2 linked regions of the Arabidopsis thaliana genome follow. The protein of the gene in region 1 interacts with the protein of each later gene in a pairwise test. Each region holds a gene or a part of one and is shown on either strand. Other genes may lie near its edges.

The links.
Region 2: the proteins of AT3G21310 (region 1) and TMKL1 interact in a protein complementation assay, tested with the Arabidopsis thaliana proteins (one large-scale study listed by BioGRID).

What each region holds. Positions count from the first base shown.
Region 1 is NC_003074.8:7,493,314-7,502,249, reverse strand, and holds AT3G21310 (Core-2/I-branching beta-1,6-N-acetylglucosaminyltransferase family protein), read right to left. Parts: upstream 5,011-8,936; 5' UTR 4,785-5,010; intron 4,746-4,784; exon of another isoform or gene 4,698-4,745; 5' UTR 4,627-4,697; intron 4,521-4,626; 5' UTR 4,477-4,520; coding exon 3,964-4,476; intron 3,878-3,963; coding exon 3,239-3,877; 3' UTR 2,843-3,238; coding exon of another isoform or gene 2,051-2,842; 3' UTR 1,983-2,050; coding exon of another isoform or gene 1,931-1,982; 3' UTR 1,927-1,930; downstream 1-1,926. Other genes in the region: AT3G21320 (EARLY FLOWERING protein), read left to right, coding at 938-1,165, 1,293-1,843, 1,931-1,982, 2,051-2,842; AT3G21300 (RNA methyltransferase family protein), read left to right, coding at 5,993-6,355, 6,459-6,701, 6,781-6,942, 7,032-7,141, 7,345-7,453, 7,567-7,722, 7,812-7,927, 8,014-8,180 and 2 more.
Region 2 is NC_003074.8:8,999,929-9,008,019, reverse strand, and holds TMKL1 (transmembrane kinase-like 1), read right to left. Parts: upstream 4,452-8,091; 5' UTR 4,380-4,451; coding exon 2,999-4,379; intron 2,913-2,998; coding exon 2,269-2,912; 3' UTR 2,077-2,268; downstream 1-2,076. Other genes in the region: AT3G24670 (Pectin lyase-like superfamily protein), read left to right, coding at 381-1,023, 1,191-1,294, 1,378-1,516, 1,594-1,815; ABI3 (AP2/B3-like transcriptional factor family protein), read right to left, coding at 7,240-7,404, 7,517-7,593, 7,711-7,757, 7,891-7,991. UniProt on the Arabidopsis thaliana protein: Does not seem to have conserved a kinase activity.

The sequences.
Region 1 (8,936 bases):
GAAAGTAATTTTCAGTTGTCATCAATGAGATGACTCACAGTCTCACACGGTCACTGGTCACGTTGCTTCACCACTGTCTCCAAGTAAGATGTCTAAAATCTTGCAAAGGGCCCCAAAGACTCACACTAAATGAAACTAGTGGGCTCAAGCCCACGTATGCACACGCTCTCTTAACACGTCAAAATTTTAAAAATTCCACAACGAGACGTCGACCTTTCACGCGCTTCGGCACGTGGAAATCCATGGTCCTTTCCTATGGGTTTTGTCCTAAACCATCCTTCGGTCCGACCAAACCGCGTAAGGTAAGAAAGACTCCGACCGAACACGGCACCTTCTCCCACAATAGTGTAAAGTGATCGTGATCAGAAACAGATATTTCGCTAAAGATTAGCCCAATTTAGGAAAGATGATGATGAAGTTAGCCAAGAGAGAGATAACAAAAACATGTGGCTGTGTATGTAAAAGACCGAGTCACCCGAACATCTCCACCTTCACGCCATTCTCCTACCACTCGGACCTAACCAACCAATACCTTCCACGTCATGTACAATCCGAGTTCCCGTGAGATAGGGATCTTTACTTGAAGCAACCAGACATGACCGCAGAGTCACACACACACACACCCCTAAGCTTTTTGTCGTCCCCTCGTATGGAATCCATTGTGGGACGACACAAAAATATCTTCTTTTGCTTCTCTGCTTTCTTCTTCTTCTTCTTAAAATTTGTTTCTTTCAGGTGGATTTGATCTCCATCTACGTAAAACAAAAACAAAGTTTATAATCTTTTTGGATTTTGGGATTGATCTAAAGTGAGATTTCGATCTTGGCACTAGGTTTTGCAAGGTTACCTAACAATTTCTGGTTCTGATTTCATTTCTTTAGGTTACGTGTAAGGGAAGGAATTGTTAATAGGGTTTGTTTGTGAGCGTAGGGAAAAGATGGGAGGAATGAAAGATGAAGCAAAGAGGATAACAATTCCTCCATTGTTTCCAAGGGTTCATGTCAATGATACTGGAAGAGGAGGCCTGTCTCAACAATTTGATGGCAAAACAATGTCTCTCGTCTCTTCTAAACGTCCCAATCTTCCTTCTCCGACCAACAACATATCTGATTCTCTTTCCACTTTCTCTTTGTCTCTTCCTCCACCACCAAACAATGCCCGTCTCGTGAGTCCTTTTAATTCACTCATTCAACTTTCTTGGTTTTGTGTGTCTGCAGATTTATATACAAGAATGGTGACAATGCATATTTAGATTATCACTTTATGACTTGTTGAATACTTTTTTGTAACAGATTGATGGACCTGAAAAGAATCAGTTTTCACCAATCTACAACACAAAGTTTGAGGGGAAGCTGAATAAAAAAGGCATAAATTATACAAGTCCTAAAGGATCATCAGTTACTAATACTAAGCCTAGTTCAATAAAACAAAATGAGTACCTCAAGAACCTTACCAGCTTGGATTCTATTAAGTCTCCTATTGTTATACACTCAGAAATAGATCCACAAGCAAACACAGATTTGTCACTCCAATTTTGTACTAGCGGTAGCAGTAAACCCGGAGGAGAGGCTGTTGTTGGTTCTAAGATCCTTTTGTCAGAACGTTTGGAAGATGAAAACCAGAATGGGTCTCCCAATGTGATGAAAACTCAATCATATAGAAGAAACTTTGCTGAGTTTAACAATGAAACTCAAAAGAAGCCCAAAACTCTGCCTCGGCGTGAACAAGTTGCTTCAAACTGCTCTGCAATAGAGTCTTTGTCTGGTATAAGTGCATCTTCTTATGATATTGCCAGAGTGATTGGTGAAAAGAGGTTTTGGAAGATGAGAACATATATGATCAAGTTTGTATCCTCCTCTCACTTTTCTTATGATCCCAACTTCATAACTTTGCCGTATTTCTTACTATTTTTTATTGTTGATATTTTCAGTCAGCAAAAGATCTTTGCCGGGCAAGTATTTGAGCTCCATAGACTGATAATGGTAAGCTTTTAATAACCTTATTGTTTCTGGTTTGCTTTCTATGCTTCAGATTACTTAATATGATGCAGGTTCAAAAGATGGTTGCGAAGTCGCCAAACTTGTTTCTTGAAAGTAAGCTTAATGGTGTCAAACATGGTACAATGAGGTCATCACATCAGCTTGCAATGGCGGCTTCAAAGGTTAGAAAGCCAAACACTGAGAATCACAAACCTGTACCTGAAGAATATCCAGAGCATATGAAACCAAAGCTTCCTCTACCTTCCATAAGCAAAGAACTCGTGACTCCTATTTGGCCACAACAGCTACTTCCTCCTCCTGGAAACCAATGGTTAGTTCCTGTAATAACTGATTCAGACGGTCTGGTCTATAAACCATTTCCAGGACCATGTCCTCCTTCTTCTTCAGCCTTCATGGTTCCAGTTTATGGCCAAGATTCACTCGAGACACCATTCAGGTTCCCTGTTTCTTCTCCATTCAGCCACAGCTACTTCCCACCTCCTAACGCGAGGACAACAGTTGACCAAACAAACCCGTTTGGTCAGTTTCAAAGATGGTCTAACACATCAAGCCACATGACACAAGCCATTCCATTTTCTTTAAAGAAGTCTCAGGAATCTAATGACAGTGACATACATGGAAGCACAGCTTCAAGTCCACCAGAGAAGCATAAACTTGAAGTGCTTCCTCTGTTTCCTACAGAGCCTACCCATCAAACTGATGAGTACAAGCAGAAACAGCAACCGATGCTTCGCGCCATTAAAGCCGTTCCTCATAATTCAACATCTGCCTCTGAATCTGCTGCAAGGATCTTCCGTTTCATTCAGGAAGAAAGGAGGGACTCAGATCATATGATTAGTTAGTTCTTTTATATTTGAAACCCTTCCACATTCTTTTGCTCTCATTGCTTCTTCATCTAGCTTAGATTTTCAGTATATTCTATTTACTCTTCTTATGAAGATGTAAATCAAATACTATCACTATACATTAAACATACACACACTTATACACACATCTTACATTGTTCTTGTATTGACAAACAGCTAATAAAAGATAGACTTTTGTGCTTCTATTCCAGTTTTGAGGAGTTTAAACATTGGAACAAGAAGAGTTCTTTAGCCATTGAAGTATCTATATTATCAATGTGGAAGGAGACAATAAGGATCAGAGTTGTGTCCATGCTATACGAAGCTACACTCAAGTTCAAGAACATTTCAGAACAAAAACCAAGAACAAAAAGAAGACAAGAGATCCATTAATTAGAACCCAAGAACCTTTGGTGCAAGTTTAAGTAAAGGCTTCAATGCGCTTGGAGCAAACTTTCTTGCAAAAAGATAACAAACTTGAGATGGCTGATCATTGTAGAAGCAAGCTTTACCTCTTGACAGCTTCTTGATGAACTTCTCTGTTATATCAGCCTTGCCAAAAGTAGCTGGATGAGCACCACCCCTTGACCAATCTGTCCAAGTCAATGTCCGATTAGCGAGAAAATCCGGATATCCAATAGAGAGCATTGTTGGGAAGTAATGTTCATCTACATAACAAGGAGGTCTACAAAACTCTTTGAATTTGTTATAGTAAACCATGTCTTCAACAATATCAACAGCAAGTGCTCTGTTTATTTCAAACCACTGAGACCCTTTTCTCCACTCGTTTAGACTTACTTCTGGTCCCATTGCATAGCTATATCTGCCTCTCCCGTAAGGCCCGTCCTCGTCAACAGAACCCATGAAACTATATCTTGATCTAGAGACATAACGGTAGACAAAGTTGAAACCGCGAAGAGGAATACACGCTTCAGATAGTAAAACAAACCATTCGTTAGAGATATCGAGCAACGCGTTAGCCAAAAGCCTCCTTTCAGCATCACACATACTCATCTCTCCCCAAGCTACATGCTACACACAAATAAAGAAACTCCGAAGTGAGATAAACCAAATCAAGACACAAGAAGCAACATTAATACATTGATCAACAAAAGTACCTGACTTGGGATCTGTCTTCTGTAAAACACAGATGAGCTTGGGAAATCTGATCTATAATTTGGCAAAGTATGAACATAGATTGAGTAAAAGCCCTCATGCCCTTTGAAAAACCTTTCCCAAAGTGGAGCAAATGGCAAAGGTCCTTTGGTGAGAAACATGAATGCCATTTTAGGAACTCTTTTAAATGGATAGTCAAGTATCCGAGGCTCCATCGAAGCACGCCAAAGAAGCTCACTGTCATTCATGGAATGCCAACCATTCAATGGAGGCTTGATAAGGCTCTCTAACGTAATTCTCTCATCATAAGTAGAGATCAATGTCGATGGAGCTAAAGTTTGAATCTTTAAGTACTTGATCATGTGCATACTAATGACTGAGATTCCAAGAACCAAAACAAAGAACAACAAGAAAACTTGAAGCACCCGCATCGGTAAAAGAGCTTTAAGTTGGTTTGTAGGTCTTGAATTGGGAGCTGATGCAGCATTATCTTTAATCCCTTCCTCCATCCCCATCAGGCTTCAGTGTCTTGATGAACAGAACCTGTTCTGTTTATATGCTACTTACATAAGAAGAGAAACACAATTAGATTGTCTATCCTAAAACATTCACAAATCTCAGTAGATTGTCTACCCTCAACCAATCAGACAAGAATGAGGATTTACCAAATAGGGTTTTGTCCGGAAACGTAGGCAAGCAAAAACGTACGAGAAGCTCCAAATTCTAACCTTAGTTCCTGTCGTTTTAGAAGAACAGAGACAAAGAATGACGAATTTGATTGGAGAAAGAAAAGAAAGATTGAAACTTTGAATGGAAACTTTACCCAAAAAAAAAAGGTAGAAAATTAGGATTTGGATCTTCTCAGACACGCAATTCGTTCAGCTGTCGGATTCGTTCATGATTTGTCTGTCGTGAGCAGGAAGACGTGCAAATGGAGGTTAAGTCTTGTCTGATGATCGTATTCGAGAGATGTCTCTGAAACTCTAATCTGATTTTGGTATCTACTTTTGGAAACAGAGAGCTTAAATGTAAAGAAACTCACAATAAAGCATTAAACCCTAGTTAGGACATTTGTATCTGTTGGTCTCTTTTGTAACTGACGGTCTTAATACGTTTTATTACAATTTAGACAAAACGTATTACGGTTTGATTACGATGTACTGTAGTATTAAATAAACTATTCGGAAACACACGCTTCATGTAATTAATGTGGGTTTTGGGTTTGATGTCTTTAATTTTTTCAATGTTTATATAATTCTCCAGTTTGGTTAAATCTGTTTCAACAACTTTGTACAACTTTGTTTTTGTTTGCTAAGAAATATTTTTCTAACAACTAACAAGTTATATTATCAAGTTGATAATCAGTACTTTGCCACTAAAAGAATTCAGAATTATTAATTTGCATAAAAAACAAAATCAAAAATCTGATTTCATAGTTGATATCAAAAGTAAAAGTAAAAGAGGCATACCGAAATTGTTGGAATATGAAAGTTGTTTTGGTTCAAAATCTTGTAGTGGGAACAAAGCTTTCAAAGTGAAAAATTGCAAGAATTGTTCTATAGTCAAGTACGATTCTATTCTATTCCAAAGATTACTTAATCCACAAAAGATAAAAGAGCAAGTAGAAAAAAAATTGAGTGTCTCAGGCTGCTCATTTGTTGGAAGTTTTCTCCAGTAGTTTCGGATCCGAACCAAACCCAAAAACCTGAATTCGAAAGGTAAACCCGATCCGAATCGAACCTAGGAACCAAACTGAACTCCACCCAAACATTATAAATATCCGAATGGGCTCTAAGAGCCTAAATCCGAAAACCCCGAACGGATACCCGTATACCGAGCCCTGACTAATCAGCATTCAGTAGCAACTCTCAAAACGCTGTCGTTGTGGGTTTAGTATATGATTAGGGGTTTAAGCTATACAAGACGAAGAAGATAGGTCGACGCAAACACGATGTCGTTTTGAAATCTATTCACACTGTTCTCTCTTATCAACAGATTCAGAAATTAGCACCCGACTCGGGCTCCGTTTCAATGTTGGCCGCGACGCCTGCTCATGGACTCAGGTACGTGGTGGTGCCCACACGCTCATGGCTTCATAGGTTTCGATGCTGCTCGTCTTCTCTCGCTCCTCTCTCCCCTTCTGAATTCTCGGGCGGTAATAAAGCCCAGAAGAAGCTCAACGACGAGAACAACACCAACGTAAGCAATGAGAAAACGGCGCCGTATTATCCGAAACGAGGAGAAACAGTGGAGCTTGTGTGCGAGAGTTTAGGATTCAAAGGCAAAGGAATCTGTAAAGTTGATGGAACTGGCTACGTCGTTATGTGTGACCGAGCTCTTCCCGGCGAACGTTTTCTTGGCCGTGTCACTCGCCGCAAAGGCAGCTATGCTGAAGTAGGTTTCATAAAAACTTCACCTTTATCTTCTAATTACGATTTTTAGTTATAAAGTTACGATTTTTAGTTTTGATTTGTTGTTTTTTGGTTGTTTCTCTTAGGTGACAAAAATGAAGACAATATCTCCACATAAGGACTTAGTAGAAGCTCCATGTGAGTATGCATCTTACTGTGGTGGTTGCAAAACTCAGAATCTCTCTTATGAAGCTCAGCTTAGAGCTAAAGAAGAGCAAGTTCATGAGCTTATCAGACATGTTGGAAGGTTTTCTGATAACAATCCTGGCCTTGAGATTGTCTTGAAGCCTATTGTTGCTTGCGATATTCAATTCCATTATCGGAATAAGGTTTGTTTGATTGTTGTGCTTATTGGTTGGTGCTTTGGTTTTAGACTCTGTGCTTATAAATGTTGACATTTTGAATTAGATGGAGTTTTCATTTGGTCCACAAAGATGGCTTCCGATTGAAATGTTAAACGAGAGACAAGATGGTCCTAAGAACTTTGCATTGGGGCTCCATGCACCTGGATTTTTTGATAAGGTTTTAAATGTTGATAAGTGCTTATTACAGAGCGAGCCAGGAAACTTGGTATGGTGAAAGTAGTTATACAGAATTTTGATCTGTGTAGAGCTCTCCTCTCAGAATCATTAATAACTTTTTTTTATAAATCAAAATAGGTTCTTGCTGCTGTCCAAGATTGCTGGAGAGATCCTGAATTAAGTCTTTCACCATATGATTGTCGTTCACATGTTGGGTTTCTTAAACATTTGATGCTGAGAACTGGAAGGTATTAAAGGTACTTGAATCATATTGTCGGTAGAATAAGAAACTTGTTCTTGTAACATAAGACCAGTAACAGGGAATAGTGTGTTTGTCATGATGAACTAGAATTGATGGGAGTGAAAAATGATAGTTAAATCTGTGCTATTCGATAGTTCTTTCATTGCACTAGTTTTTCTGATGTTTTCTTGTGATTAAACTTGACCATAGGAATGTGGAGACTGGTTCACTAGAACTTATGGTCAATTTTGTGACATCGTCTTATAAGCCAGAGCTGTTGAAACCCCTGGTTGATAGGATTTCATCAATTCCTCAAGTGGTTAGTACTGAATCCGATTTGCTTCATTCCTACAACCCGTAATTGAGTAGCATTTTTCTTGGTTTGTAATTTAACAATTTCCATACTTTTTTACTTGGCTCATACAAATACAGGTAAGCATTATGAATAATGTAAATTCTTCGGTAGGAAACACATCCGTTGGCGAAAAGGAATATACTCTTTATGGGAAGGATACAATCACAGAGGTCTTAAGAGGGCTTACATTTCAAATTTCAGCCAACTCTTTCTTTCAGACTAACACTCATCAGGTATATGGTACCACTAAGCAACATGGTTTCTTTTACACTCAAAACATTAATCACAACTTGTTGAAAATAAAATGGTGTTCACTGTGTAGGCTGAAGTTTTATATAAGCTTATTGAGGAATCTGCTGGACTTAAAGGAGATGGCTCAGAAGTCGTGCTCGATCTTTTCTGTGGAACTGGTACCATAGGCCTTACACTTGCCAGAAGGTAAACAACATGAGCGTAAAGTACTGTCAAAGATTAAAAATAAAATTGCAGTTGCTGATTGTTCAGTCTGATTCTTCTCCCTCTAGGGCGAAACACGTGTATGGTTATGAAGTAGTACCACAAGCAATAACAGATGCACACAAGAATGCCCAAATAAACGGCATAGAGAATGCAACATTCATCCAAGGGGATCTAAACAAAATAGGAGAAGATTTTGGGAACAATTTCCCTAAGCCTGATATCGTTATTTCTGGTTATAATCATCTTCTTCACATAGTTAAATTTCATCTAGGTTCTAATACTTTGCAGTCTACCAATCGTAAGAAGTGTTTTTACAGATCCCAATCGACCTGGTATGCACATGAAGTTGATCAAGTTTCTGCTAAAGCTTAAATCTCCACGGATCATTTATGTTTCCTGTAATCCTGCAACCTGCGCCAGGGATCTCGATTACCTCTGTCACGGCGTGGTTAGTATCTAATCTTATCCCCCACTTGAATCTTTTCTCTTTAACTCATTTGTGAAAGTAATCAACAAAACTTGGTGATTTGGAAAACGTAGGAGGAGAAGAATCTAAAAGGTTGCTACAAACTGATGAGTGTTCAGCCAGTGGATATGTTCCCTCACACTCCTCACATCGAATGTGTCTGCTTGTTAGAGCTTGCTTGAGCTCTATTGTCACCATGGCTGCTTCATTTGGTCTCTAATCAGATGAGAGACAAATGAAAACAGAGATTTTTTTAGATTGAGGGAGTTTTGGTTTTCCATTAGAGTTAAGTATCTGTAATCTTTTTCATCGAGTTCTTTAATAGCATTCATAGACAAGAATGTAAACGTTTTTTAAAAAGTTAAAATCCCACCAAGGCAAGTGGTCTTTAAGAGTTAAGATCCTGATAAGAGAATTTTATTAAAAACAATCACTAAATGGATCTGCTTGTACAAGTTTCATGACTTCTCAACATCTTTTGAAATAAGACAATTTCACTATGAATGATTAAACGAATGTGGA
Region 2 (8,091 bases), 1.5 Mb from region 1:
GCAAAATTTTGTAATTAATGTATACACATTTTTGTCCATAAAATATATCAGATTCTTTACGTTCTAACATTTATTTAAAACATCACAAAAATAGAAAGTTAAAATAAAATTAAAAAGAATGATATAAAAAAGTTTCCGTATGGTCCGTATCATATGATTCCGTATAAATGGTTTACATTTATTACACCACATGGTTCCTTCTTCTCCTCCACGTGATTTTTGAACTCCAAGAGGGCTTTAATGTGAAATCAAAAACTTCACGGGTCAATTTGTAACAGTTTAATAACTCTGTTCTCTTTTTGTTATTTTCAGGAAAATAAAAACTTCACGGGTCAATTTGTAACAATTTAATAACTCTGTTCTCTTTTTGTTATTTTCAGGAAAATAAAGAACAGTACAGAGCGGAGGAGGTTAGGATTCTTCTCATGCGCCACCGGAAACCCAATAGACGACTGTTGGAGATGTGATCGGAATTGGCATCTCCGACGAAAGCGTCTCGCGAATTGCGCGATCGGATTCGGTCGTAACGCTATCGGAGGACGAGATGGTCGTTACTACGTAGTCACAGATCCATCTGACCACGACGCGGTTAATCCACGACCAGGAACACTCCGTCACGCTGTGATACAAGACCGTCCGTTATGGATCGTCTTCAAGCGAGACATGGTGATTACTCTAACTCAAGAGCTAATCATGAACAGCTTCAAAACAATCGATGGAAGAGGCGTGAACGTTGCAATCGCAGGCGGTGCTTGTATTACGATTCAGTATGTGACGAATATTATCATCCATGGGATTAATGTACATGATTGTAGAAGAACTGGTAATGCTATGGTTCGAAGCTCGCCGTCGCATTATGGGTGGAGGACTATGGCGGATGGTGATGCTATATCGATATTTGGATCGAGTCATATTTGGATTGATCATAACTCTTTGTCTAATTGTGCTGATGGTTTGATTGATGCTATTATGGGATCTACTGCTATTACTATCTCCAATAACTACATGACTCACCACAACGAGGTTAGCTTTCTTTGCTGATTCAGTGGAACTGATGATGAATTTGCTGCAGAATCACGTTTTTGGAGTGGATTTTGGTTGATTTAGTAGCTAAATTAGTTAGTATAGTGAACTGAATTGTGTAGGGTGTGTTAAAGAGTTGAGAAGAAGTTTCTTGATGGATAATGCAGGTTATGTTGATGGGGCATAGTGATTCGTACACTAGAGACAAGTTGATGCAAGTGACAATAGCATATAACCATTTTGGGGAAGGGCTTATACAGAGAATGCCGAGGTTCGTCATGCATTTCATGTTTTCTTTTCGATGATTGTTTGCTACAAGAATCAGGAGGGCTGATTCTTTTGTTGTTATTTCAGGTGTAGACATGGTTATTTCCATGTTGTAAACAATGATTATACTCATTGGGTAATGTATGCAATTGGTGGAAGTGCTAACCCTACTATCAATAGTCAAGGCAATCGTTTCCTTGCCCCGGGCAACCCTTTCGCCAAAGAGGTATACCTTAATTTCTCTCTTTCGGAGTAGGAGATATTGAGAAAGGATGAATCTCAATATTGTAATGGTTTTGGCAGGTGACAAAGAGGGTAGGTTCATGGCAAGGGGAATGGAAGCAATGGAACTGGAGATCTCAAGGAGACCTAATGCTCAACGGTGCCTACTTCACTAAATCTGGAGCTGCTGCTCCTGCAAGCTATGCCAGAGCCTCTAGCTTGGGAGCTAAACCAGCTTCTGTAGTAAGTATGCTTACCTACAGCTCCGGTGCCCTTAAATGCAGGATCGGTATGCGGTGTTAGTTAATTGTATAATCCTCAAACCCAAGACCGAAGAGGATACTGACTAGCTGAGGGAGACAAAGGAAGAAAACTAACTTGTTTTCTTCGTCCCCGTCATTTACATTTTCATCGTCTCCTTTCTTTTCTCTTTTACCATTTTAGACTCTTCTCTGCCTCCACTCGTCAACCTAGGCCAGCTTTGATGAGCCGCAGTGTTGTTCGACTCAACTCCAAAATTGTAGTACAGTGCATTCTTCTTCTGCCTCATTACTCATTTGGTGTATCATCATGTATCATATATTCTTCTATCAATATTAATACTTTGAACTGCTTCTGTTACACTTACACCATTTCTCATCAACAAATATAGATAAAATCAAATCAGAATGGTTTCTTGCCAAGGAAACAAATATAGCCAACTAAAGTGAGGAATTACAGAAGAAAAAAAAAGCTTGTAGAAGAACACAATTAGACTCAAAATGGAGTTTCGGCGTCGCTCCTGGTTTCGGTTGGGCTGTACAATGCGGATCTATTCCTCGGTCTGTTCTCTTCCAACTGCTTCACAACCTCTTCCATGCTGGGTCTAACTGTTGTAACAGGAGCACAACATCCCATCGCTAGCTTCAATGCATGAACCAAACCTTCTTCCATTGGGCTCCTAATCCCTTTCATTGCCTCCAAGTCGAAAACCTCCATTGTCGTCTCTTCCAACACCGCAGCTTTAACCAAAGAAGGCAAGTCCACAAACTCATTACCGTTCCTTCCACTCTTTCCTGGTTTCTTACCCATCAATATCTCCAAGAGAAGGATCCCAAAGGCGTAAACATCACTCCTTGGATTGCATTTCTTCATCTTGTGGAGTTCAGGTGCTTTGTACCCGTCGGATTTCGCCTGCGAGACAATCTCATCTGCTACTGCCTGTACCATTATCTTGTCAAGCCCAAACTCAGTTAGCCTTGCAAAGAAAAAGTCGTCCACAAGCACGTTCTTTGATCTAATATTTCCATGGATGATAGGAACTTCTTGTCCAGTATGAAGATAAGCAAGTCCCCTCGCTATTCCAAGTGCAATCTTGTGTCTCCTAGCCCAATTCAAAGCTGGCTTTCGAGGTTTACTTTCTGCACATCATTCAAACAACACATGAATAACAAAAATCAACCAAGAAAGATCCATGGCAAAAAAGATTGATGATGAAAGAAAATACCATGCAACAAATCATGTAAGCTTATGTTGGGAAGATAGTCATAGATGAGAAGCTTTTCTCCTCTCTTCCCTTGATAGAAAGCTCTCAAGGGAACCAAATTCTCATGCCGAATGCGTCCTAACTGCCTTATAACAGGCAGACAAGAACTTCTATCCTTGCAAGTACCTTCTCTCAATAGCCTCAATGCAATATTCCCTCCATCACTAAGCTTAGCTTTATAGACAGTACCATAGCTAGTCTTCTCCATAACTTGCCCAGTAGCATTCAAAACATCATCCAACGTCAGATTCTCACCACCTTGAAACACAACTAACTTTCCTTCACCGCCTTCTTTCTCACCGATTTCATCTTCTTCATCACCTTCTTCCAAATCATCTTCACTCTCTATACTACTCTTTCTTTTCTTGTTCTGCAAATACCCTATTAACAACGAGGCCACAACAACAGCTCCAGACATTAAACCAATCACCAGACCAGCAACAGCACCTGGACTTAACCTAGAGGAGCCTAGACAAGGCTTCAAAGGCAAACCACAAAGGCTAGGACTGTTCCCTTCGAAAGATTCTGCTCCAAACTTTGACTCACCAAAATCTGGCAACATCCCACTGAAGTTATTATGAGAAAGATTGAGACTTTCTAGCTCTAATACACCTAAACCCTCAGGAACAAGACCTTCAAAGACATTACTTGAAAGATCAAGTGACTTCACACCTTTAAACCTAGTTATAAACTCAGGAAACTCACCTGAGAACTTATTACCACCCAAATCAAGAACTTGGAGATTACCACAAGTCGAATTTGGCAAAGCAGGCTCAGGCAAAACCCCAGACAAGTTATTACCATGAATCTTGAAAGAGACAAGCTTATCACAGAGGTTCCAAATCGATGGAGGCAAAACCCCAGCTAAGGCATTACCACTCAAATCAACATCAGAGAGAGAAGAAGTGTAACCAAGCTCAAGAGGGATTGACCCACTTAATGAATTGATGTTGAGGAACACACTTTGAAGCATAGAGAACTCACCAATCTCTCTAGGGAGTGAACCAGTGAGATTAGCAGAAGGAAGCTGAAGAGAGAGAAGGTGAAGAGAAGAGTCGTTGAACAGAGAGGTATTAGTCCATTGTGGTGAAGAGAGGTCACTACATTGAAGAGGAGACCCATTTGAAAATACCCATTTTACACCTCTCCATTGACAAACAGGAACAGAGGAGTTCCAAGAAGACAACAGTAAGCTCTCACTGTTTCCTTGTAGTGAAGACTTGATTTTTCCTAAAAGAAGCTTCACATCAGAAGAACCAGAGAGAGATGTTCCACAATGACAGTGAAGAATTAGCACAAAGAAGAAGATAACATGAAGAAATCTCAAAGCTTCCATGCCCATTTCTCACAAAGAGACAGAGAAAGAGAAAGAGAGGTTAGAGAAGGGAAAGGTAAGGACTTTGAGTTTCAAGACTGGTCCTTTGTAGCAGAAAGAGAGTGTTGACTACTTTGTAAACACTTTAGTCAAACATCTCAACGGCTATGATTTAAACTCAAACCGTATTGATTATTAACCGTCCGATATAACCAAAAGTTGGAATCTTTATAATCAGAAAGTGTAAACCGGATTGATTGCTTACCGTCCGATCAAGTGTGGCTTAAAGCGATGGACAAGAATGGTATAAATCTACTGATTACTCCTGAATTTATAAAGTTACTTTTCTTTATAACTTTAATTGATTAAACTATAAGCACGCTCAAAGTTCGAATTAAGACTTTTTCTTCTGCCAAAATAATAAAATGATGTTTTTTTATCAAGGTAAATGTTTTTGTGTAATTTGGTTCATGGGATGTTTCATGCTCCTTGAATCTTGACCGTAGATGAGTCATTGGAGACATGAGATGAGTGAATCAACGGTGGATGATGGAGAAGGTGGAGAAATCTTAGATAGTTTTGGTTTCTCTAGAAGACAATTTGTTGGAAGTACACAGAAAATGAAGAGCCAATATTTTGAAAAATGGGAAATGTGAATATCTAAGTGAGATGAAGTTATGTTGTCTATGTCCTTTTGTGTATTGTCTATTTCGAAATTTCAGGGGTGTCAATCGAGTAGACCGGTCAGGTGTCCGAAACATATTTTGGATTTGGATTTTGACATCAAACAAGATTGAGTAATTTGTTTTATTGTTGGATCAAACACGCTCAATTTTTTTTGCGTAGTATTTTTTGGCATAGAAAAATAGAAGGCTTGAATGGTAGTAGTTTATACTTTATAGCATAGTTATTGGTTTTCCAAAAACCCATTTAATTATCCAATCAAGATTAGAGTTCGCATTTTTGTAAACAAAATGAAAAATAAATCCCACTTTAATGAGTTTTTGATAATTGTTTGCAGATTTCTTTTTGTAATTTTAAATCAATATTTTTTCCTTTTGGCAAAATCTATAATCCAAAACCACTTAAAAACTCAAATATTCATGGCCAAAAGTTGTTTTCTTAAACCTAAGCATATATAGATAGGAAAACAATTTCTAATATACTGTATTTTACAATGGACTAGTAAAAGTTTATGAATGATGTGAAAACAATTAGATATACTGAGTCACAGCAGACTAAAAAAAAATTTTTTTGTTGAAATAGATATCAAGTTTGGCTTTTAGTAATATAGAAGTGTCTGAATTTGGTTAAAAAATAATCATAGATAAAGAAATTTATAAAAGGCATCTGATGGTTACTTTGATTCTAATTGACACTTTTGTTCCAAACATTTGTTACAAGTCGGGAAAATTATTTATTGTTGTATACCTCTAAGGTGGCTACACCATTTCGAAATTCAATCCTTTTGGAAAATGAAAAAAATATCTATACATTTTTTTTTTTTGAACAACAAAAAATATCTATACATGTCGATCATATATTCATATGTAGAAAAAGGCATATATTGATGATAATAAGACCACATAATTAGAGCAATATATGTTCTCCAGATATAAATCTCATGCAACTTTATAGAAGAAGAAGTTAGAAACATGAGGAGTCCTTGATTAGATTACTGAGACAACTATGTATGTCACGTCTTTATCAACATCTGAAACTATTCAACTACCACGCTGCTCCTTTTGTAATCAACTTCACTTTCATAAGATCAGATTATTTCATCAACTCCACTTTCTTTTTTGTTTCTCATAGTCTCATTATAAGTCTTTTGTTTTCAAGTTGTCAACCGTCTCACGGCTTTCTAGTAGGGCCTGAATGGAGAAAGGTGTGGTGTGGATATTTGGCACGGGTCAGATCATTGTTTTTTTGAATATCTCAATTCCTTAGGTGCGGTCCAGTTTTTGGGTTTAACCAAAAATAAGAAAGAATAATGATGTATCACAAACAACACACTTATATGAGGAAAATTATAATCCTACCTCACTTGTTTTTTTCCTCCAAAGATTTTCGTTACTCAATAATACAAAGGGTTCAAGCTAACTAGATAAACAAGAAAATGATAGAATCAAAGTGGTAAGGAACAACTCTTCTTAAAATGTCCATATGTAAACATTCTATTTACAAATATTTACAATGTGAATATGTGAATGATATGGATAATTTTGTACATATGTCCATATGTACATTAATTATCATTTTGTACATTAATTATCATTAATTATCATTTTTACTATCATTAAATTGTCCATATGTCCATATTTACAAATAATTTTGTACATTGATAATGATAATTAATGTACAAAATTAATTATCTCAATTCCTTCTTAAATTGTCCATATGTCCATATTTACAAATAATTTTGTACATTAATTATCATTTTTATTATCATTATCAATGTTTGTGTAAAAATATTGTATCATTCAACTCTTCTTAAAACATTCACATTATAAACGATATGTAAGCTCGACTCAAGAAATGAGCCACATATGTAATATTAACCAATTACAACAACAAAAGAACTATATAATCATCTCTCCAGAAATATAACACAAACACCATTTCCAGAATTAATCATCTCTACAATATCCTGAAGGTAAAAAGAGTAAAGAGTTATAAAAGAACCGACTCGACAAGAAAAAGCAAAAAATGGAGTAAAAACCCGGACCCCGACCAAACAGCTTTAATCATGACCCTCCATTTGTCTTCAAGATCCCATGCATGCACGAGAAGTGGCACACTCGGGTACGCTGCCATTTTTTCCTTTTGCCCTCTTTCTTATTTGGTACATAATAATATTTATATTGTTTCTTTTTGTCTCTGTTTTTCATTTAACAGTTTGAGAAGTTGGTGAAGCGACCACCACATTCGCCGACGGAGAGTTATTGTTTATGTTCCTTTGCGACTTGTTTTGTCTCTTCGTAGCTGCTGACGACGGTGGGGCCTCCGGCTTTTGTCCGCTCGGTTGTCTTACTTTAACCCCTCGTATCAACTGTCATAATATTATTCTCAATTAATTATGACAAGATAAATACCAACAAAAGTAATGATGAGAGTTAAATACTAATGAAAAGTATAGAAAAATATTGTGATGCTTCTCTTACATATTTGCCACATTTGACGTCGGAGTATATGACTATGAAATCACCTTCTTGGAGCCCATTGGTTTTCACAAAATCGCCTGTAAACGTAATTTCAAGGAAAATTAGATATGTATGCGTCCACAACAATAATTACAAGAGAACAAACAAACCAAAAGAAAGGAAAATTATTAACGGGTACATTTTCAAAAACGTACCGGTGTTCTCGAGGAGATACATCCTGCTTTTGTTGTTAGGCCAAAACCTGCAAAACCAATTTAAGAAGACAATTAAATAACCGAAAAAACATTTTGGTCGAGTTCCAATTTTTGACAAAATACACGAATTGTTTTTATAAAAAGAATCAATGTTAACATGTTAGCATCATAATCAGTTACCTGTAGCGCATGTTCCAAACACGAGAGGTTCCGATGTCTTCCATGGCCAGAGAGATGCCGTCTCTTGCCTCTAGCTCCGGCAAGTGTGTCTCAGCTTCTTTCTAAAAAAAATAAAAATTCAGTAAAATATAACTTAACCAATAAGAGTAAAAATAAAATAAAAACTTGACAATATTTTTACACAAACATTGAACCTTTTTT